Oryctolagus cuniculus: one gene and its partners. The protein of the gene in region 3 purifies or fractionates together with the protein of the main gene of each other region. This does not show direct contact. Links are inferred from orthologs where the notes say so. Each region holds a gene or a part of one and is shown on either strand. Other genes may lie near its edges.

Region 1 (4,830 bases), on a different chromosome or scaffold from region 3:
GCTGCACCTACCCGGTGGATGATCCCTGCAGAGTGGATGTACTGCGGGGAGGGAGGTGGTGAGCATTGGCCATGTGCCCAGGGACCCCCACCTCCAGCCCAGGCCCTAAGACCCCGCCTGCAGCCCAGGCCCTAAGACCCCCACCTCCAGTCCAGGCCCTAAGACCCCGCCTACAGCCCAGGCCCTAAGACCCCCACCTCCAGTCCAGGCCCTAAGACCCTGCCTGCAGCCCAGGCCCTAAGACCCCCACCTCCAGCCCAGGCCCTAAGACCCCGCCTGCAGCCCAGGCCCTAAGACCCCCACCTCCAGTCCAGGCCCTAAGACCCCACCTCCAGCCCAGGCCCTAAGACCCCGCCTGCAGCCCAGGCCCTAAGACCACCACCTCCAGCCCAGGCCCTAAGACCCCCACCTCCAGTCCAGGCCCTAAGACCCCACCTCCAGCCCAGGCCCTAAGACCCCGCCTGCAGCCCAGGCCCTAAGACCACCACCTCCAGCCCAGGCCCTAAGACCCCACCTCCAGCCCAGGCCCTAAGACCCCACCTCTAGCCCACGCCCAGAGACCCCCACCTTCAGCCCACGCAGCAGCTGGTATACCAGGAACTGGACGTGTTCGTCACTCAGCGCCTGGCACTTGACGATGTTGTTCAGGTCTGCGCCCATCAGGGTGGTCACCAAGTACCTGGGGCAAGGTAGGGGGTCAGGGGTCAGGCCGGAGCCCCACTGCCGTGGGCCGAAGGTGCTCCTCTAGCCGCCAGGCACTCACACTTCACTGAAGTCCTCGATGGACGTGGCTGGCGTGAAGACGTCCAGAAGCCCGATGACCTGGGAGGCAGGAAAGCAGCTGGGCAGCATGCGGTGGGCAGGGCTCGGCCCCAGGCCAGAGCCCTCCTCCTGCCAGCCCTCCCTCCCATTGGCCCAGGGCCCGGGGCCCTCCTCCCGCCGGCCCTCCCCCCCACCGGGCTTCCCCACCCCCCCCGCCCTCCCCCCCCCGCCGGCCCTCCCCACCCCCCCCGCCCTCCCCCCCACCCTCCCTCCCACCGGTCCTTCCCCCCACCCTCCCTCCCGCCGGCCCTCCCTCCCGCCGGCCAGCACCCGCTCACGTTCTCATGCTTGAGGTGCTTGAGCAGCCGCAGCTCCCGGTACGTCCTGCGGGCGTGGATCAGCGACTGGAAGGGCCGCGAGAGCTTCTTCACCGCCACCTTCTGCCGCAGCCGGGCGTCGTAGGCTGAGCTGGAAGGCGGGCGAGTGAGGCAGCCTCCCCAGCTCCGCGCCCAACCCCTCCTCGCCCGAGATCCAGAGGAGCCCCTGAGGCTGGGCCCCGGCTCGGGGAGAGGCCTGGGTACTCCCAGGGCAGAGGGTGCCCCCTACCCCGGGACTGGGCAGGTCCAGAAGTGTGTGCTGCATCACTGGCAACCGGAAGTGGACACTGGGAATGCCCAGCGAGGCCGGCCTTGCCCAGCCCCACGCCCCTCCCCTCGGCAGCAGCCCCTCGCCTGGCGGCAGGTGCAGCAGTCTCGGTCACGATCAGGGCTCAGCTGGGAGCAGGTCTGGAGCCCTTTGCACAGCCGGCTCTCTGGCCAATGCGCCCGCCCACGCACCCCTTCCCTTCCCCTCAGAACCCGCCCCGCAGTGAGCCCAGACTTGACTGCCCCCGGTGTGGGACGCTCATGGGTGCCAGTGGCAGAGAAAAATTCACCAGGCCCCCAGTGCCCCCATCACCAGGTTGTGACCCACAGGGGCAAATCCAAGTCACTGCTGGAGAGGAGGTGGCAGATCCTTTGGCCCAACTGCATCTGTGTGGTTAGCTGAGCAACAGGGAATGGGCACCCGCGCAGTCACCTCCTTGGCAGTGGAACTCAGCAAACATGGAGGGTTGGGGTGCAGCCCAGAAAAGCCCAGGTCCCCCTGTGGGGACTTGACACCCCCGGAACTCCCAGATGTGCAGACCCAGCCATGAGTCCACCTGGGTTCCTGCCACAATATCCTCTGGTCACTCACACACGCCGGAAGACGGTGCCCCGGTGCTGGAGTGGCCGAGGTGACCGCCTCAGGCTGCGGGGACAGGCAAAGATCCGCCCAGGTGCGGGCAGCCACGCCCGCCCACCAGTCCCCAGCCTCTCCGGCCCCACTGGGACCCAGCAGCGGCCAGTGACGACCTCGTCGGGTGCCATGGGGGCACCTGGCAGCGTCCACACCTGTGAGCAGCCTGTCTACACAACGCTGGTCTGTCACCGCCCTGTCCGGCTTTCCTGTCCTGGAGCGAAGGCCGCGGCCCAATCGGCACCCCCGCCCCCCACAAGCCGCCGTGGTCTGTTTGGGTTCAGGCTCTGGAACCTGCGCTCTGGGGATCGGGCGTCAGGTCCCCCGCTCAGGATGGAGTCCGAGACTCCTGGGAAAACGAGGAGTGGGCAGGACCCGCAAGGGGCTCCGAGGCCACGCTGCGAGCCTCCGTTTTCAAACAATGGCGCGGGGCGGGGGCGGGGTATCCGCCGGACCCTGAGCCGCGCGACCCCTAACCCAGGAACTGCGAGGGGAGCGCAGACGCCGAGGGCCCCGGGGCGCCCGGCCTCCGCCGGCCGCGCCATCCCGGGACTGGGCGCGGCAGGAAGACGACCCCCGCCCCGCTGGGGGCGGCGTGCGGCGGGCACGCTTCTCGCACGCCCTCACCCCGACGCATCGCCGCGGCCCGCGCAGGGCCCGGGGGCGGGGGCAGGCCGAGGCCCCTCCCCACGCCCGCAGCCCCGAGCGCGCCCCGCGCCCCGCCCCTACCAGACCGAGCCGTAGGCGCCGGAGCCCACCGGGCGCAGCCCCTGCAGCCTCTGCGGCACCTCCCACACCGTCTTGTTCAGCTCCTGCCGGTAGAAGCCGGCGCGGGGCCCCGACATGTCCGGAGCCGGAGCCGCGCGCAGCTGAGGGCGGCGGGGCGCGGGGCGGGGCGCTGGGCGGGGCGCGCGCGGGGCTCCTGGCTGGGGCGGGGGCGCCCGGAGCCGAGCGGAAACCGGGGCGGCGGCGGGATCCGGGCCCGGAGCTCGGGAAGCGCTTCCTCTCGGGACGGAAGGGGGTTGAGGGCCGGGCCTTTGTGGCGCCGGACCACCTGCTGGGGTCTCCCGCGGGCGCGGCCGGTCAGCACCAGGGACAGCGGCGACCCGGGGGGCCTCTGGGGCCAGGGCTCGGGAAGAAGCGGCCCCAGATGAGTCCCCTCGGGTCCCTCGTACTTTTTGCCTCTTCGGGAAGCCCACCCGAACTTCCCCAGACCCTGGGAGCCGCCCCTACCGCCCTGCGCGGCGGTCCCGTGGCCGGCGTCCTCCCGTTAAGCCCCGGCCTCGCGGGCAGTCGCCGCAGGCACGGACAGACGCTGGGTCGGGGGCTTTGGGCGGGACGCCCCCTCCCGGGATGGGAGGAACTTGGGCTCCAGTCGCCCCCTCTTTTTCAAGACGAACCCAGCGGCGCGCGCCGGTGAAGCTGGGGTGCTTGGGACCAGCGTGAAACGCGGAGCGAGCTCCCTGGACCCGCAGCTTCATGCAGACTTCATGGGTCTTGGGACCCTGGCCGGGGTCCAGGGCCTGTCCTGCTGGGGCCCCTAAGGGGTTCGGAGACCCGGGCGGGGAGGGGGACTCAGTGGATGCTTCCCCACCGCCACACGAATCGCTGGTGAGGGTCTGGAACAAGCAGGATGCAGTCTTGGCTCCATTCTCTGGACATGGACAGGTCAGCAGCATTGCTCGTGGCTCCTTCCCATCCTCACCTCTCCCTCCCCCTGCTCACTGGAAATTGGACAGTGACCGGAAGGGCTGGTCACCGCTGGGGCTGAAGGGCATTCTGGCCACCTGGACAAGCCAACATTCACCCCTCGCTGGCACCAGCCAGGCTCCTGGGTCCTGTCACTCCCATCCCTAAGGGGAGGGGTGAGGGTGGAGACCACCTGGGCGTGGATGGCAGGACCTACAGCCTTCCCCTCCCCCTGAGTGTCCCTTGCGTGTGTAGGGGTGTCCTCACAGATGAGCCCCTTCTTTCCTGACTGCCCCGGGGGACAGCAGCAGCAGACCCCTGGAAGCCAGGCCTCCAGGTTCCTGTTTCCCTACAGCCAGTGTTGGGGAGGGGCCCGAGTCACCCCCTTCCAGGAGGGGTTCACAGTCCCCTGACCCCGGCTCCTGGGCTCCCCAGCCGTAAGGGGAGGCCCCAGCGGCGAGACCAGGCCGGAGACCATTCAGACAACGCACACAGGGACAGCGAGTGTCCAGGCCGCTCTGCTTCTTCCTGGGCTCAGCCTGCTTGGGGTTCACAGGAAGCTCCGTGGGGGCAGGGCCCCTCCGTCCCATTGGCTGCAGGCCCAAACTACGTCTTCATCTTGTGGCCCCGCCCCAGGTCCTCGGGGTTACCTACCCCCACCCAGACCCCCACCAGGCAGGAGCAGAGGAGTCCGTCGCCCTCAGAGGTGCAAAGGGTGGTCCTGGGCGAGTCATCCTGGGTAGCTCGTGGGACAAAGCTGACCTCACAGCCCCAAGGCCTTGAGACTCTGGCCCTCTGTCCAGTGGGGCCGGCACACAGCGCGAGGCTTACCAGGCATCTCTCTCGCTCGCTGCTGCCTCATGCCTGCCCGGGGAAGGGAGGGGGACGCTGAGGGCGCCAGATGGGGGCGCTAGAGCCAGTCTCTTTCCAGCACCCAGCCAGGCTGGCCTGGTCCCACCTGGCCCACACAGGGGCCCACCTCAGATCCAGCAGTGTCCAGGGAAGGGGAACAGGTGGGTGGGGACAGACCAGCAGCCCCTGGAGCCCAACCAGCCAGCAGAGTGAAAAAGACAGCTGTATTTGATTTACAATGAACAAGAT
Region 2 (4,610 bases), on a different chromosome or scaffold from region 3:
CCACATTGCAAATCTGCGTCTCTGTTCCAGCACAGAGCAAGTCATACCAGCAACAAGAAAACCTTGCCAGCAGTTGAATTCAAGTTCATCCACAGTCCCTAGAGTTGAGTTGTCCCGCTATTATCAGTCCATGAATGCTTAAATATCACCGGAAACAAAAACTTGATGAATACTATGAAAATTCATGTGTCAACTCAAGAATGAAAAAACAGGGGCAGGCGTTGTGGCACAGCAAGTTAAACCTGCTGCCTGCAAAGCTGGTATCCCATATGCACTCCAGTTGGAGTCCTGGCTGCTCCACTTCTATACATCTCCCAGCTAACGTATCTGGGAAAGCAGCAGAAGATGGCCCAAGTGCTTGGGCCCCTTCACCCACATGGGAGACCAGGATGAAGTTCCAGGTGCCTGACTTCAGCCTAACCCAGCCCTGGTTGTTACAGCCATTTGAGGAGTGAACCAGGGAGAAGCTTTCTCTCTCTCTCTCTCCCTCTAACTCTGCCTTTCAAATACATAATTTTTTTTAAAAAAAATGGAAAATGGAGGGGGTGGCACTGTGGTGCAGTAGGTTAAATCTCCATATGGGTGCCAGTTTGAGTCCCGGCAGTTTGATTCTCGGCTGCTCCTCTTCCGATCCAGTTCTCTGTTGAGGCCTGGGAAAGCAGTAGAAAATGGCTCAATTTTTAAGCACCTGTACTCATGTGGGAGATCTAGAAGAAGCTCCTGGCTCCTGGCTTCAGATTGGCCCACCTCCAGCGGTTGTGACCATTTGGGGAGTGAACTGGCGGATTGAAGACCTATCTCTCCATCTCTCCCTTTCAACTGCCTGTAACTCTACCTCTCAAATAAATAAATAAAACCTTAAAAAGAATGAAAAATGGAGGTATATTAATGAGCCCATAAATTTTTTTTTCAAAGATTTTATTTGAGTGATAGAGTTACAGACAGAGAGAAGAGAGACATAGAGAAAGGTCTTTCATCTGCTGTAAAGGCCAGAGCTGGGCTGATTTGAAGCCAGGAGCCAGGAGTCTCCTCTGGATCTCCCACCTGGGTGCAGGGGCCCAAGGACTTGGGCCATCTTCCATTGCTTTCCCAGGCCACAGTAGAGAGCTGGATCAGAAGTGGAGCCACCAGGACTCAAGTCTGCGCACATGTGGGATAACAGCACCACAGCGCTGGCCACAGAGTCCTTAAATTTTAAAGGAGCAATTATCTAAATACACCTCTGAAAATTAGCAAATCAATAACTAGTATATATACTAACTAAAAAAGCTTCAAATTCCTTGAAAAGGTTAACTGCCACAGCGTAAAAGTGGGAGAAAGATGTCAGCCACGGTGACACCTGCAGCATTACTCAAGCGGCTTGAACTAGAAAATGCAATACGATCTGTTGCTGGACACAATTGCACAATCTCAATTACCCAGAAGATTCTACCAAACAGGAAATTCATGATGTGATTTTAAGAAACACGGGAATCATATTTAAAGATGAACAAATCCAAAAGCCTGGAATTTGTTCCGAACAAAACAAAACAAAAAAAGCATTTTCCTAGCTCCTTTTCCACCCATGCATGCCCAGGAATTGATAAAACAGGAAAAAGCTTACTATGAAGCCGGACACTTAGTTTCAGATCAGGAGCTCTCAAAAGATACTAAGTATAAAATACAGTGTCTAAGGCCTTGGAAGTTAGAGAAGTCAGTGAAATACTTCAGGTCTGGAAATGTCCTGGTGTCAACTTAAATACAGGCACCTTGTAAAGGACAGCTGGCCGGTGTCTAACTTTCTTCTCCTGGAAGTTCCCGATCCTAACGAAAACCAAGTGTATCTCAGGCCATAGCCACAGATAAGGTCTCTGCACACTCTCCAAGGGGCCTTAAAAATACACGATTCACAGGAATTATCTCAACTTTCAAATATTCACAGTAGCTCCCTGCACCGTGAGCGACTTTTGGGTTTCGAGGGCACGCGGCGGAGGGATCCGAGGCTCCCCTGCTCCCCGTGAGAACCCTGCTTCGTCAAACAATACTTTAAATGAGCAGTGGTATGTGACTAATCAGCCAGGCCGCCAGTTTCTCAAGCGGCAGCCACCACCGCCGCCCTCCACGGAAAGGAAACACGCTCTCGACCGAATCGGAAACACACCACTCAAGCTGGCACAGGGCTCGCCGAGATAAAGCCGATATTTTAAGCCCTATGGGTCGCTGCGAATTCAAAAAGAACGCTTCTCCAGACGGGATTTCCACAGAGGTTTGCAAAAAAGAAGGAAAGAAAGAAAAGCCTGGAGGGGGCTACCTTCGTCGTCAGTTTTGTTCAGACCACCCGATCTCCCAACCGGGTTCTGCTTTCTCCCGCAGCTCCCCGGGTCGTCCGCGCCCCCGGGACGGGTGCACCCCCGGGAGAGGGTCCTTCTGCAAAGTGTTCGTAGGGACCCCCCTCCCCAGCTCCCCGCAGAACAGCCGCCCCTCCCCCAGGGCCTGCCCCCCGGGGGGGAGCAGCGCTCAGCGAAACGAAAGCGCAGGGCGTGCGCCAGGAGCGAGCTCCAGCCAGCACCACCACCTACCGCCCACAGCGGACCTGCGCCTGCACGCAATGGACCACCGCCCTGGGCGTGCAGGCTGCGGGATGCAGGGGGTGCAGGGACAGCCATGCTCTCCCTCGGGGGAAATTCCTGCCGCTGGGCGCATAGCGGAGCCGCGGGGGCAGGCCTGGCCCTCGGGCACCAGGGGCCACCCTACCCACCGCGGCCCCGGGCCTAGCAACACTCACCACACGGAGCCATAGGCGCCAGAGCCCACCGGGGACAGATTCTGGTAACGCTCGGGCACCTCCCAGATTGTCTTGTTCAGCTCCTGCCGATAGAACGTGGGCCTCTCCTGAGACATTTTCCAGCGACGGCCGCGGGGCGAGGAGGTGGCCCTGAGGTGCCCCCGCCTGCACCCACGCCCGCTCCCCGGCCCTCGTCGCCCGCCCAGGCGGGCGGGGACCTCGCGCTGGCCGCCGCGCAGGTGCGGCTGCTGAGACCCCCGCAGACACCCGCGCGTGCGGCCCCTGTCAGCTGCAGCTGCTGGACGCGCCTCAGGGACCGAGGCGAGCCCGGCAAAGGGCAGGAGCGCGCTCCGAGGCTGAGGGCTGCGCCCGCCGGGGTCTCCCTGCACCCTCTCCCGGGCCGGGCCGACGGCGGGCCGTGCCGCTGGACTCCCGCTCCAGTTGCAGCGCCAGCTGAGGCTCCAGTGGTCGCAGTTCCAGAGCCAGCGAACAGGAGCCGCCTGCCGTCCTCTCGCGAGATCAGCTCCCGGGACTCTCCGCGAGCCGAGATTTTACCCAATATGGAACCTCCCCGCGGGAGGGGGTTCGGGAGGAGAGAGCGCCGGAGGAGCAGTTCTCGCGAGAAGAGAGCAACAGCTGGAGCCCAGAGGCAGGAACTCCCGGGGACTGTTCTTCGGGGCGCCGAGGCGGACGGCTAAGGCGGGGATGCTCGCGCACCACAGGCCGCGCGCGCCCCACTGTGGTTGGTGGGGCTGTAGTGCCTGACCACTGCGGAGAGCGACGGGGACGAGTAAGCGTGTCGGGAAAAGAGCCAACAGATCTTGGAACTGCGGCCGAGCACCTGCTCGGTGGAACTCCGCCGTTTCCAAGAAATACCGGCGTCAAAAACTGGTTCCAGTCAGAAGGCCGTCGCATTCCCGTGTGCTCATGGACAGATGGCTAACCCTCCGGGACGCTGACGAAATCGGCCCCAAAGACAAATATTAGCCCCGCTGGAAGCCGAGACTTTGCACCCGAACGGGTGCAAAGGTCGCCCCGGGACCCTCAGGGGCCTCTGCGGGGGTCGGGGCCGTACAGGTGGCTCTGATGTGTCTTAAAAGCCGTGGCCCCGAAGCTTATAAACCGACTTCGGCCCCAAGAGCAGTCCTGAGAAGAGGACTTGGAGATTTTAAGTGGGGGCTCTCCCAGGAAGGCGGAGGAGCAGGGAGTGCGCTTGTGGCAATGTCGCTTTTAGGCAAGCCGGTAGGCCCTGCTCAGTTGCAAGAGAACTCCGGTCCTCCGTTCCCACCTCATAGGGACAAGAAAATACCCGCGAGTGGGCAAGTGTTGTAACCCCAGGCCCATACCTACTGGTGCTGGCCCGGCCCGTGCTAACGCCTGCTACCCTGAGCGCAAGGATGGGAGTCTATCTTGTCCTCCGATCCTTTGAGGGCCACCCCAGGACAGGGGCCGAGGGCTCCCACGGCCGTGTTCTCCTTCCTCGCCCCCGCTCTCGTTGCCCGCCCGCCCCGAACGCCCGCGGGTTCGGCCGCAACGGCTCGGGAACCGCCGGCGTCCGGGTCGGCAGCGCTGCCAGCCAGGCCAGAGCCCTGGGAGACCCGAGCCGCCCGCCGCACTCCCGCCTCGGGCGGGGAAACAGGTGAGCTGCTGCCAGGGCCGCCCGGGAGGCGGGGCTGCAGGCAGAGAGTCGCGGGTCGCGGGCCGGGCTGGGTCCGCCGCCCGCAGCGGGGTCCCGCACGTCGCGGGCGCTCGCTCGGTCAATATTGGTAGAGTGAGTGGCTGACGACGGTGCCTGGAAGCTTATCTCCCGCCTCTGCTTTGAACGGCCGCGTGGAACGGCACCGGC
Region 3 (3,627 bases):
GCCGAGTCGCGGGCGGTGCCCAGGTAGAGGTTGGGCAGGATCTGCACGGGAACGGATGGCAGCAACCCCATGGGAGGGGGCGTGGCGCCCTCCGAATCCAGGCCACAGGTCATGGTGTCGCGGTCAGCCTCGGATTCCCCATCGGAGCAGTCGGAGGTCAGGCACAGGCTGCCCAGCCCCACCACGGGCACCGGGCCGGGCACGGAGGCTACGCTTGAGCCCGCGTGGCCATTGAGGCTGCTCTCACACAGGTGAGGACACTCAGCCTGAAACCTGCTGAAGCCACCTGTGGGGAGAGAAGCGGAGCGCCTCGGAAGCTGTCCCTTTGCAGGTGTCCCCAAGGGGAATGCAAAGGCCAACAGCTGGGGCGGGGTGCGTAAGATGCCTGCTTCGCATCTTGGACACAGTGCCTGGGGGCCAGTCCTTGTGTTGGCAGCTTCCTGCAGAGCGCACACCCCGGGAGGCAGCAGCGGGTGACAGCTCAGTGCTTGGGTCCCTGCCACCCCCGTGGGAGTCCCGGATGGACTTGCAAGCAGCGAGCAGCAAAGAGGAAAGGTTTCAGTGTCAGTTCCTTGCCTGAGAGATGCAGGGGGCTGGGGGGGGCGCTCGGGAGAGAATCTAGCGTTCCCCCGCCCAAGGAGCCAGCATCCGCTGCATCTACCGATAACGCGGTTCCCTCCCAGGCCCTGGCTGGGGGGGGGGGCTGGAAACCTGACACTTCTTCTATTTACACGTCCCTCACACAGCCCAGCCACCTTCCCTGACCAGCCTGCTCCTGCTGCCTTTACCGCTGCTCTCCCCTTTCCCAGCCCGAGACTGCCCCTGCTCTGTCCTGCCCCAGGAACTTTGTGCTTAAGCATCAATTGCGCAGACTCAGAAAACCCGGGGCTTCCAAGGGTGAAGGGACTTGCCCAAAGTCAGGCTCCCGCTCCCCTCCCCCAAAAGCAGCCTGGCAGGTTGTCAGGTGAGGCTTGGCCAAGGTCAAATTAATTATGAATCCCCCGGGAAGGCAGGGTCTTCCCCGGGCCCAGTCCCCCCCCCCTCGTCCCCCTTCCCCCAGGCCAGTGCCTGGCGCCTCTTGTCCGGCACCTACCCTGTAGGTAGTAGGCCAGGTAGCCTTCCTCCCGCAGCTTCTGCAGCAGGGTGCCCAGCACCGAGTCGGCTTCCCACTCCTCGGCCTCGCCGTCGGCCTCCCCGCGCCGGCGCCGGCCCCCGCTCTGGTCGTACAGCAGCACCGGGGCTGGCGGAGGCGGCTGCAGCGGCGGCCCGGGCAGCAGCGCGCGCACCGACAGGCTCCCCCTCCGCAGGCGGCGCAGCAGCAGCGCGGGCAGGGCCACGCTCAGCGCCCCGCCGATGCGAGCCGACTCGTAGAGCTCGCGGCTGCGGCAGTCCAGGAGCAGCAGGCGCGGGCGCGGGGGCGCCAGCTCCTGGCGCAGCCAAAGGCACGAGCGGCCTAGGCCCTCCATGGCCCTGAGGCTTCTTGCACGTCGGTCCGGGGGCGCTGCATACAGAGGGAAGACGCGTGGCATGAGTGCCTGTCTGCGCTCCCGGTGCGCGGGCCGGGGGCGTCGAGATGGGAAGCCAAGCCCGGGGCGGGCGCCCACCGTCCCTCAGGGTCACCCCGCAGTTGCTCACCGCTCCCACAGTGTGAGAGGTGCCACACCTCCCCCACCCCCCGCCGCCCCCGCACCCAGGAGATGGCTGGGCGTCTAACGGTGCCCTCGGGGCACTCGCTGGGAGGCCACAGGCACCTCCCTTCACACCTACTTTCCGCGTCTCTCGCTCAGCCTGCCCGGGAGCTGGGCCGGGGGTGGGGGGGTGGTCACTCCTCAAGTTCCAGCTTCCGACTTTAGGGCTGTGTGCCTACGAAGGGGTGCGGGTCAAGGTCCCCCCACCCCACTACCAGGGAACAGAAGTGCCACCGGGTGAGGAGCCTCCGCGAGCCCCCTCGGGGTTGACCTGGCCCGGGCCCCCCACACCCTCAGCAGAGAACAAAAGGAGAGAGACCTGGAGAGCGATCCCGCGGCAGGCGGCCGCGCACGGACGTCCCAGCCAGAGCACTGCCACCGCGGGGCGCGGGTGCCGTCCCTGGCCGGGGAGTCCCCAGGCCCGGCGCCGGCAGGAGGCGGGGCGGTGGAGCGGCTCGCACGTGGAAGTTCAGCCTCGCGCTGCTCGCGCGCCGGCCGCTTCCTGGCAGCAAGACTGAGCTTCCACCTTAGAAGCCGCTGCCTTCGGACGTGGAGTAGCCGCTCAGAGGGGCGGGCCGGGGCGGGGCGGGGCGGCGGGGGCGGGCTTAGGGGGGCCAGCAAGCCAATCGAAGTAAGCGAAATCAGTCGGGTGGGACCCGCGAGTGGCAGGCTGAGCTGAGCCTTCCACTCAGGCGGGATAGGGTCGGGGCAGAGGCCAAGGGCAGGTCAGGGGCCCAGTAGGGGAGTAGTTGTAGTTCCCCTGGCCGGCGCCAGCTTGGTCCCTGGAGGCAGGGGGAGGGGGTGAGGACAAAAGCCCAGCGCCCCTGCCCAGAGGCTGCCTCTAACCCAGCTAGTGGTGACTCCGGACCATCACAGCCCCTGCATGGACGTCAGTGGCCCGATCTGTATAATGGGCTCATTAGAGCCAGCACCTTGGAGCAGCACGGGATGTCACTGGAAGCTTCATTCACACGCACCTGGCTGAAAGCTGCCAGGAGCAGCTCCAGGGTGTCAGCACTCTGGGGGACTCTGCTCCTCCACACACTGACCCTAGCAGCCACCCCAGCTCCTCCCTCTGCTTCAAACTCAAAGCTCCCCCACCCCTCCCCACCCCCAGCCCCACCGCCACCCCCAGACTGATCAATCTGGAAAGAGGCAGTTTCTATGAAAATCTCTCTCACATCCATGATCTCCTGTGTCCTGCACTGGCATGCACTCGCGTTCACCAACTCTTGGCCAGGTCACTGTGACAGCTTCCCAAAGTCTCCCTGCCTCTGGGCCTCTGTTCACGAACCTGCTCTCTGCCCCACCGTGTGCCAGAACACCATTTAGCCCGGGCCGGGGCCCCCCATCCTTCCCCGGGGCACAGGGCACTCCCAGTGTGCCGCAGCACAGACCCAGCATAAGCAGGGCCACTGAACGACATCTCAGATGGGAGACGTGCTGAGCGCTGAGACAATGGAAAAGCCCCTCTGCCTGTGTGTCCTTTCTCTGCCCGAAGCCCAACGAAAACAGATACCAGTGGTGAAGGAAGACGCACAACAGATAAGATAAAGCTCTACAAACCGACCAAAAGGTCAAGACCCTGAGAACACGTGGGGAAAAGGCTCCACGCTGCACTAAGGTGGAATGCCACGGGGCAAAAAACATCCTGGGAGGGGGCTCACCCTCAGGCGTGGAAGAAAGAGCACTCAAAAGGACGAGGCACAAGGTTGCTGGGAAATCACCATGCTGCGCCCTCTCGCTGGCCACTTTTCTAGCGGTGTGGTCCGTTTGGAAGTCAACCTTTGGGGAGTTCAGCTGGCAGCGTGCAGTGAGAGCTACCTGTGAGGGTTCCGCCCTAAGGAACTGAAGCACAGGAAAGCCGAGCTATGCACACGGTGAGGGCGCCACAAGCCATTTCCCTAAGAAGGGAGCAACGCGAAGCACACACTTCCAG
Region 4 (4,511 bases), on a different chromosome or scaffold from region 3:
GCTTCGCCGCGGCCAGCCGCGGACCTTAAGGTCGCAGGTGGTGTTGATGAGCAGGTTGGAGGGCTTCAGGTCCCGGTGGAGCACGTTGGCCGAGTGGATGTACTTGAGACCCCGCAGGATCTGGTAGAGGAAGTAGCAGATGTGGTCGTTGCTTAGTTGCTGGCTTTTGAGCAACTTGTACAGGTCTGTCTCCATGAGGTCCTGCACGATGTAGCTGGGAACGGCCCGAGACCCCGCCCCTCCCCCAGGCAGGGGGCAGGGGGCAGGGGGAGGCACGCAGTTAAGGAAATCAGGTTCTGGTGATGCGGCTGCACGTCCCCGCACGTCCCCTCACCTGGGGTCCCCGGGACCCGGCAGATCTGCTAACCCCTGTCAAGAGCCGGGCTGAACTCAGCAGCAGGGCACAGGGCCTCTCACACCCCCGGCAGGTGACCCCGAGCATTCTCTCCTGCGGCCCTGGGAAATGGGGCTACTAACAAGCTGTCCAGGGCCGGAGAACATGCCGGTTCAGAGTGACAGCTCCAGGGTCCACCCAGTAATGCCTCAAATCTCCACTGGGGACTTAAAAAAAAAAATCACTGAAATTGATTCTGGTGCAAAAAACCCCGTCAAAGTCCACTAATTCAAGGGGTCTTCAAAAAGCTCCTGGGGGGCTGGCGCTGTGGCATAGCGGGTAATGCTGCCGCCTGCAACACCAGCATCCCATACGGGCACTGGTTCGGGTCCCGGCTGCTCCACCTCTGATCCAGCTCCCTGTTAACGTGCCTGAGACAGCAGTAGAAGATGGCCCAAAAGGTTGGGCCCCTGTACCCATGTGGGAGACCCAGAGGAAGCTCCTGGCTCTTGGCCCAGCCTGGCCCAGCCCTGGTCATTGTGGCCATTTGGGGAGTGAACCAGCAGATAGAAGACCTCTCTCTCTCTCTAATTCTGCCTTCCAAATAAATAAATCTTAAAAAAAAATTATCCAAGTATTTTGATTTTTTTGCATGAAAATAAAATGCCTGCCTGTTTGTGGGAGGACAATGAGAGAGGAGACACCCCCCACAGCACACCTGCTCAGAGAACATCTGGCCCGGCCTAGATCTCCTGTGTTCTCTCAAAGGGAAATGCAGTGACTTGCCCCAGGTCACACGGCAAGCTGGGTGAGTATGGAAATCTCCCGTCCCTGGTCTGTGGCAGGGCTCTGGCCATGGCACCCAAATCCCCACCCTTGGATGGAGGACTGGACTGGGACCAGCAGGTGGTATGGGTGGGTGGCGAGGAGGCGACGTGTGTCGCAAGGCCAGGTTGAGCCAGGCCGGAAGTGGACAAGGAGCAAGAAAAGCACTCTTGGGGGAGGGCATTAAGGCTAAGCTGTCCCTCCCTGGGCAAGGGGCAGGTGCGCGGGTGACCAGGGCGAGGCTCTGAGCAGGAAGTCCCAGAGAAAGATAAGGACCAGCTCCCGCGTGGGGGAGGGGTGAGGCAGCCACAGAGACACCTGCTTGGGGGCTGTTCCGGGCCTCAGTCCCCTCATCCTTGGGACCCAAAGGCAGGGGTAGCACCTGACACGCAGTAGGCCCTCAAGAAAAAGCAGTTTTCTTCCTCCCTGCTGTCTTTCCAGTCTGGGGATCCAGAGAGAAAGAATCACCAGTCTGTTCAGCAAGAAGTGACCGTGGGCAGAGCAGGTCACATAACTGCAGACAGCAGAAAACAAAGAGCCCAAAGAGACCTTGGCGCCCAGGCTCCCCATGGAGGCTTGGGGCAAAGAAGGGACCTGTCCAAGGTCCCCCTGCCTGACAGCCGCAGGTCAGGGGGGGAGGGGCCTCTGGCCTGTCACTGCCTTCATTTGGGAGGGTGGCAGGGCAGGGGGGAGCCCAGCTCTGGAGGCCCAGGGGTAGGATACACATCCCTCATGGCTTCCAGGGTGGGAGCCCGAAGAATGTCCCGGATGCCGATGACGTTCTCATGGGAGAAGCGTAGCAGGATCTGGATCTCCCTCAGCGTGCGCTGGCAGTAGGTCTGGTGTTCGAAGGGACTGATCTTCTTGATGGCCACGCGGGTCTTGCGCACGTGGTCATAGGCTGAGCTGAGAGGCCCAGAGAGACGTCGCTGCTGGTGTGGCCATGATGGTGGTGGTGATGGGGGGGGGGGAGCGGGAACCAGGCCCAGCGGGCCCCACCCAGGCCAGGGGCAGGGAGGGAGGGGACAGAGCAGGAGAGGGCTCTGGCCAAGTTATAAACAATGCTCGTTCCTTCCTGCTGTGAAGGCCTGGGCTCTCCAGGGAGAAAGCTGGGGACCAGCCAGGCCGCCTTTCGGTGACTTCACAAACAGAGGAAGACTGGCCACTCGCTGACTTCCCCTCTGCTTGACCCCCTTCCATTCTGCCCAAGCCCGGGCCTCCCTCCCCACCATGGGCTGCCTCAACCCACCACAGGGCCAGGGAGCGGGACCGAGGGGCGGGTCTGGGCCGAGGACAGCAGAGCAACTTCCGGTCGGTGCAAAGGCCCAAAGCACACAGTAGGGCTGGGCCAGCTCCCAGACCCCTCCCCAAGATGCAGGCAAGCAGGCACTCCCCACCTCTCCTCAGGCCCGGAGGCCCGAAGCCTCGCCCCACCCAGAGCCCTGCCTGTGCCGCTCCACTCCTGGGCACAGCCTCGCTTGGGGACTCCAAGGCACCCTAAGGTCCCCTCTCTCAAAAGAGGGTCCTCGTTCACCAAGACTACTGATTCTCGTCGCCCCACGCGGGTCTCTAGGGCCACCGCTCCCTCAACCCCAGACACCCAAATACCGCTGCTCCCTTCGGGGCGGAGGGCTCCCGTTCAAAGCCTCCAAGCCCCCTCCCCTAGGAACATGGGCAGCGCCCCCTCCCCCAGAAAGCACCCCAGGGCTCCTATCCCGGGCATACTCCACCAAGCCTCCAGAGTGCCCAGGTTCTACAGGCCACTCCAAGTCTCCACGGCCCAACGAGCCCCCTGCAGCCCTCCTCCGCCCCCTCCTCCGGGGTTGCCCCCTCCCTTGAGGCCGCCCCCTCCCCCGGAACGCCCCCTCACCTGACCATGCCGTACGCGCCCTCGCCGATGTACTGCAGCTGCGTGTAGCGTGGGCCCACGTCGAACGGCTGCCCCTTCACGACCTCCACTTCCCCGGGGACCCCCGGGCCGACCCCATCGGCTCCCCGGGGCTCCCCGCCCCCGCCCCCCTGAGCCGCCGCCGCCGCCGCCATCTCCACTCCTCCCCTCCCGCCCGCCCTCCCCACGGCGGCCCCGCCCGAGGCCCCGCCCCTTCCCGCCCGCGGGGCCGCGCGCGCCAGGCCCCGCCCCCGCGCGCCGCCCCCGCGCGCCCCCGCGCCCCCGCGCCCTGCGCGCGCCGCGGAGCCGGGGCGCGCGCCCGCGGACGTCACGTGGCCCTCCCCGCGCGCGTCCGGCTTTCCCGCCGCCGGGCAGCGGTGCTTGGTCGCTGCGGGCTTCCGTGTGCTGGGAGCGGGCGCGCCGGGCGGCTGTAGGCGCGGTCCATACCCCCTCGATTTCTAGGCAGCTGGCGGGTGACTTCCCCAGGGCCACCCGGCCAAGGTGTGCTGGGGCCGGACGCCCCCCACCCCGGAGTGCCTGGCCTTCTGGGACCAGAGCTGCTCCTGTGGGAGCCCCCTGGGGGTCCTCTCGGCCCTTGGTGGTTTGGCCTCCTTGAGCCAGCTCTGCTCGGCTGCCGAGGGAGTGTACTTGAAATCAGAGCCGCGTGGAGACCCACCTGCCGTTTAAGGGTGAGGCCGAAGCCCGAGGTGCTGCTGCCGGCGTGGGGTCCAGGCCCTGGCCCTCCCAGCAGCTGCAGCAGGGCCAGCTGTTGCCCCCACGTGCGTGCCAGGTGGGCAGGTTTCGTTAAAATACACTTGAAGAAGGAAAGAATCTGGGGCGGCGCTGTGACATAGCAGGTGCATCCGATATGCATCTCGGCTGCTCCACTTCCAATCCCGCTCCCTGCTAATGGCCTGAGAAAGCAGCCAAAGACAGCCAAAGTGCTTGGGCCCCTGCGTCCATGTGGGCCCATCCAGATGAGTCTCCTGGCTCCCGCCTGGCCCAGCTCTGGTTATTGGGGCCATTTGGGGACTGAATCAGGAGATGGAAGATTGACTTTCTCTCTCTCTGCCTCTCCTTCTCTGTAACTCTTTTAAAGTAATTAATCAATTAATCTTAAAAAGAAAAATCCAGCTTGTTGGATTTGGCAAAATTGAACTCACAAGAGGGTTGTCATCTTCCTGATTCTCTCAGTAGGCTGAGAGGGGCCAAGGTCAATCTTGTTCCTCACTGGATCCCCACCTCCCACCCCCATGCCTGGCACTGAAACATTAAAAAAATTTTCTTTTTGATGAATGAATCAAATTTTAAAAATATATTTCCTTTTTATTTGAAAGGCAGAGTTACACACAGAGAGAGATCTTCCATCCACTGCTTCACGCCTCAAATGGCCCCAATGGCCAGAGCTGGGCCAGGTGGAAGCCAGGAGCTTCTTCCAGGTCTCCCATGTGAGTGCAGGGACCC
Region 5 (3,310 bases), about 58 Mb from region 3:
GACAATATATTAGACAAAAACAAAATCCTTCCTTAGCACTTGGCAATGACAATGCCTTCAGTAATGTAACATTATCCTTTATTAGCTTTGCTATATACTTCAAGGTTCAGGTCTGCCTTTTCTAGTTTACAAAGCTCTGGGTAAAAGTTAGCATTTGATGAGCCAGAAAAAGCAATTCAATTCATCAATTTTTAACAGGACAAGGTGGTATTTGGTGTGAGCTCTGCTTGAGGTTTTGCCCCTTTATAGACTTGTTTTGAATTGAATACAAAAAAATCTGCACTCAAAAATGAAACTCTGGGGGCAGGTGTCATGGGGCAGTGGGTTAAGCCGCTGCCCACAACACAGGCATCTCATATGGGCACCAGTTTGTATCCCAGCTGCTCCAATTCCAATCCAGTTCTCTACTAATGTGCCTGGAAAGGCAGTGGATGATGGCCCAAGTGCTCGGGCTCCTGCCATCCAAAAATGTGAGACCCAGATGGATTTCCAGGCCTCTGGCTTCAGCCTGGCCTGGCCCAGCCTTGGCTGCTGTGGCCATCTGGAAACCAATGGATAGAAGTGCGTGCTCTTTCTCTCCCTCCTCCTCTGTCACTCTGCCTTTCAAATAATAAATAAATTTTTTTTTGAAAAAATGAAATTCTGGATTTTGAGCTAAAGTAAAATGATTGCATTTGGTTCCTTATAATAAGTTCTAAAAAAACTAAGCCACCATACTATATTGAGTAAAATCATTTTATTAACTGAACAAAGCACTTCATCTTGTTTTGATTTGAGGTAAAACCATTAAACACAGGTCACAAGAAAATACAATGACTATTTAACTACAATTACAGAAGTCTGAAACCTCACTAGTTGTTCATAGTACAATTTTACAAATTCATACAACTGTAGAGTCTACTTAAGCTAAGTTTAGTGTTAACCAAAGGCGGGATATCACAGGCCTAGACACACCTGACTACTACTTTCGCAGCGACTACACTTTTGGAACAACATAATGACTGTCACCTTATGAATACACTTTAAGGACCACTTGGCTAGTGACATGTACTGTTTCCTCATTTTTCAGAGGTGTGCATGGAGGCTCTTAGGACAAATACCTGCTCCCATTCAGTATGCCCTTCTTTCAGGTCAAATTGTGTTGAAAAACCAAATAATCATGGCTCCACCGTGAACACAAGGATTGGGACTATAGTCCCATAATCGTCTTCATATATTTAGGTTTTATAGGCAAGCCAGCTTAGGTTTTTTTTCCAAAGCTTTCTTTTAAATGTTCAGATCCTGTTGTAATCCGAACTGCAGATTACTGTGCTTGTGAGAGCGTCTGTGGGTCCACGTGAGGGCAGAGACCACAATGCAGTCCAAAGCACAGCATATATGTTTTTTTCCAACTGAGCCCAGCTGTGAGATTTCATTTTGTTATGGACAGCTCTTTTCAATCAATCCCAAAGCCTTTGGAACACTGCAGATTCGCTTTAGAGGTAGATAAAACAGAAATCATGCAGTTAAGTCAATTGAGAACAGAGGGATTTTCTATCTTTAGAGACATCATGACTAAACACTGATCCTTTGTTCTTAGTGCACATCAAACATTTTTCACCTGTTTGGGGAAGAACCCCAGCCTTAACCGTTCCTCACGAAAAACGGTCTTACAATTCAGCCTGTACTAACTACAGATAGAAGAGAAACACCATTAATGTTTGCATTGCAGCACTGCGGTTCACTTTCTGGATTTGTGACACATAAACATCCCATGCATTCTAAGACAGAAGTTAATTTCATCAGTGTCACTAGCGATGTTAATTAAAAAATTTACAGCAAGTTCCAAACTTTTCTAAATATCGAAATCACCATGTTTTAAAGACAGACTGTAATGTTACAAATGATTCTGCAAAATACAAAAATAGATATGCTTCCACCGAATGCCTTAATCATTTTTCCGCGCAGTCTCATCCTTTGGTTCGTCCTCATCTGAGTACACAGTGGGCTCCTCCCCTTCCTTCAGCAGTTTGCCCACGAGGTGATACTTGACTGGAGGTAGAGGAAGAAAACACAAACGGTCATTCTTCATGCTTTGGAAAAAAATCACTATCCTAACGCCTTTGAAAACATTCCGTACAGGCCTACAGACTCAGCAATGTGTGAAGTTTCTTGAAAGACCCAAAGGCAGTTTATAGCACAGTCCTTGCCAGCAGAAGTGACTGCTTTGTTCAGGAGGCAGAAGTGTAACAGGTAGTAATGTCTAGCAATGAACATGCACAGTAGTGTCAGAATGGACTGCTTGTGTTGTTGGGAGTGACTAGAAGAGCAAGGCCTCCTTATGAGTTACTGAGAAGCGTTGCAGAACACTTCGTGGAAGGAGGCTACACTTGGGAAAATATGTAGAAGCATTTGGGGAGGGAGATGTCCAGAAAATAAAAACACTATGCACAAAGGGACACAGATAAGGCTGCACCCATCTGGGGAGCAACAAAGAGAGCCAACAAAGAGGGCAGCAGCAGAGCTGGAAGAAGTAGGGGACAAAGTTGGTGAAGTGATGTGGGTAAATATTGTGAAATATTTGGAAAGCCAGCATGAGGAGTTTGGACTCATCCTATAGGTGCTAAAGGGCACGGAAGGTTTGTGGGGAAATAAATGACGTGGTAAAACAGTGTTCTAGCAACAATATTATCGCTGTGGAGTACAGGGCAGATTCCAGCCACAGAGACGAGCAGCAGGGTCACCAGGGGGCAAGTGTGCCGAGCCAGATGGGAAGGAATCGCAGCCAGGAGGAGGGTGCTGCTATGGGAATGGAAAAGAGGGATCCCATACACTTTGACCGGAGTTAAGGAAGTGCCAATGGGATATCCAAAATGGGGACTCTGCAGAGGGAGCCACCCTAGAGGGGCACATGACAGGCGATCAAAGCTGGAGGTTGATATTCCAAAAAGCACATTCCTGGAAACTTTGGAGAAAGAGTTTTTGAGAAAGAAGCCATGTTGTAGGGAGGAAGGAGGCAGACAGGAAATGAAGGAGTGGCTAGGGACAACAACTTCTTCCAAGTTTGACAGTGAAGAGCAAGAATCACAATCTAGTGGATACAAGGATAGCAGGAGACAGAATCTTACCTGGCATGAGTTAGAAACCTATGGGCAGCCACAGGAAGTGGTAAAGGAGTCGGGAGAGGACTGGGGATGTTGGAGAAAACAGAATAGTGTAAACCCCAATGTAAACGCTTGAGAGGGGATGGAGTCAGCCAACACCACATTAATGCAGCTAAATGAATGCAAGGTTAATCGTCTCAAAGGCAGAAGCTAAGATGTGCAAGTCT

Evidence for each region.
Region 1: the proteins of DUSP9 (region 3) and MAPK11 purify together in Homo sapiens (affinity purification with mass spectrometry; 4 studies listed by BioGRID and IntAct, with this or other methods). This does not show direct contact. The link is inferred for Oryctolagus cuniculus from reciprocal best matches to the Homo sapiens genes DUSP9 and MAPK11.
Region 2: the proteins of DUSP9 (region 3) and MAPK14 purify together in Homo sapiens (affinity purification with mass spectrometry; 8 studies listed by BioGRID and IntAct, counting the BioPlex papers as one, with this or other methods). This does not show direct contact. The link is inferred for Oryctolagus cuniculus from reciprocal best matches to the Homo sapiens genes DUSP9 and MAPK14.
Region 4: the proteins of DUSP9 (region 3) and MAPK3 purify together in Homo sapiens (affinity purification with mass spectrometry; 4 studies listed by BioGRID and IntAct, with this or other methods). This does not show direct contact. The link is inferred for Oryctolagus cuniculus from reciprocal best matches to the Homo sapiens genes DUSP9 and MAPK3.
Region 5: the proteins of DUSP9 (region 3) and PGRMC1 purify together in Homo sapiens (affinity purification with mass spectrometry; 3 studies listed by BioGRID). This does not show direct contact. The link is inferred for Oryctolagus cuniculus from reciprocal best matches to the Homo sapiens genes DUSP9 and PGRMC1.

Annotation. Positions count from the first base shown.
Region 1 is NC_091442.1:123,217,538-123,222,367, forward strand, and holds the start of MAPK11 (mitogen-activated protein kinase 11), read right to left. Parts: upstream 2,953-4,830; 5' UTR 2,886-2,952; coding exon 2,770-2,885; intron 1,231-2,769; coding exon 1,101-1,230; intron 823-1,100; coding exon 764-822; intron 680-763; coding exon 568-679; intron 42-567; coding exon 12-41; intron 1-11. UniProt on the Homo sapiens protein: Serine/threonine kinase which acts as an essential component of the MAP kinase signal transduction pathway.
Region 2 is NC_091436.1:133,478,530-133,483,139, forward strand, and holds the start of MAPK14 (mitogen-activated protein kinase 14), read right to left. Parts: upstream 3,244-4,610; 5' UTR 2,881-3,243; coding exon 2,765-2,880; intron 2,173-2,764; exon of another isoform or gene 2,038-2,172; intron 1-2,037. UniProt on the Homo sapiens protein: Serine/threonine kinase which acts as an essential component of the MAP kinase signal transduction pathway.
Region 3 is NC_091453.1:132,017,939-132,021,565, reverse strand, and holds part of DUSP9 (dual specificity protein phosphatase 9), read right to left. Parts: intron 3,537-3,627; 5' UTR 3,356-3,536; intron 2,768-3,355; exon of another isoform or gene 2,008-2,767; intron 1,864-2,007; exon of another isoform or gene 1,768-1,863; intron 1,502-1,767; 5' UTR 1,467-1,501; coding exon 1,094-1,466; intron 287-1,093; coding exon 1-286. UniProt on the Homo sapiens protein: Inactivates MAP kinases. Has a specificity for the ERK family.
Region 4 is NC_091450.1:7,472,322-7,476,832, forward strand, and holds the start of MAPK3 (mitogen-activated protein kinase 3), read right to left. Parts: upstream 3,203-4,511; coding exon 3,030-3,202; intron 2,066-3,029; coding exon 1,883-2,065; intron 215-1,882; coding exon 25-214; intron 1-24.
Region 5 is NC_091453.1:73,830,350-73,833,659, forward strand, and holds the end of PGRMC1 (membrane-associated progesterone receptor component 1), read right to left. Parts: intron 2,032-3,310; coding exon 1,928-2,031; 3' UTR 722-1,927; downstream 1-721. UniProt on the Homo sapiens protein: Component of a progesterone-binding protein complex. Binds progesterone. Has many reported cellular functions (heme homeostasis, interaction with CYPs). Required for the maintenance of uterine histoarchitecture and normal female reproductive lifespan.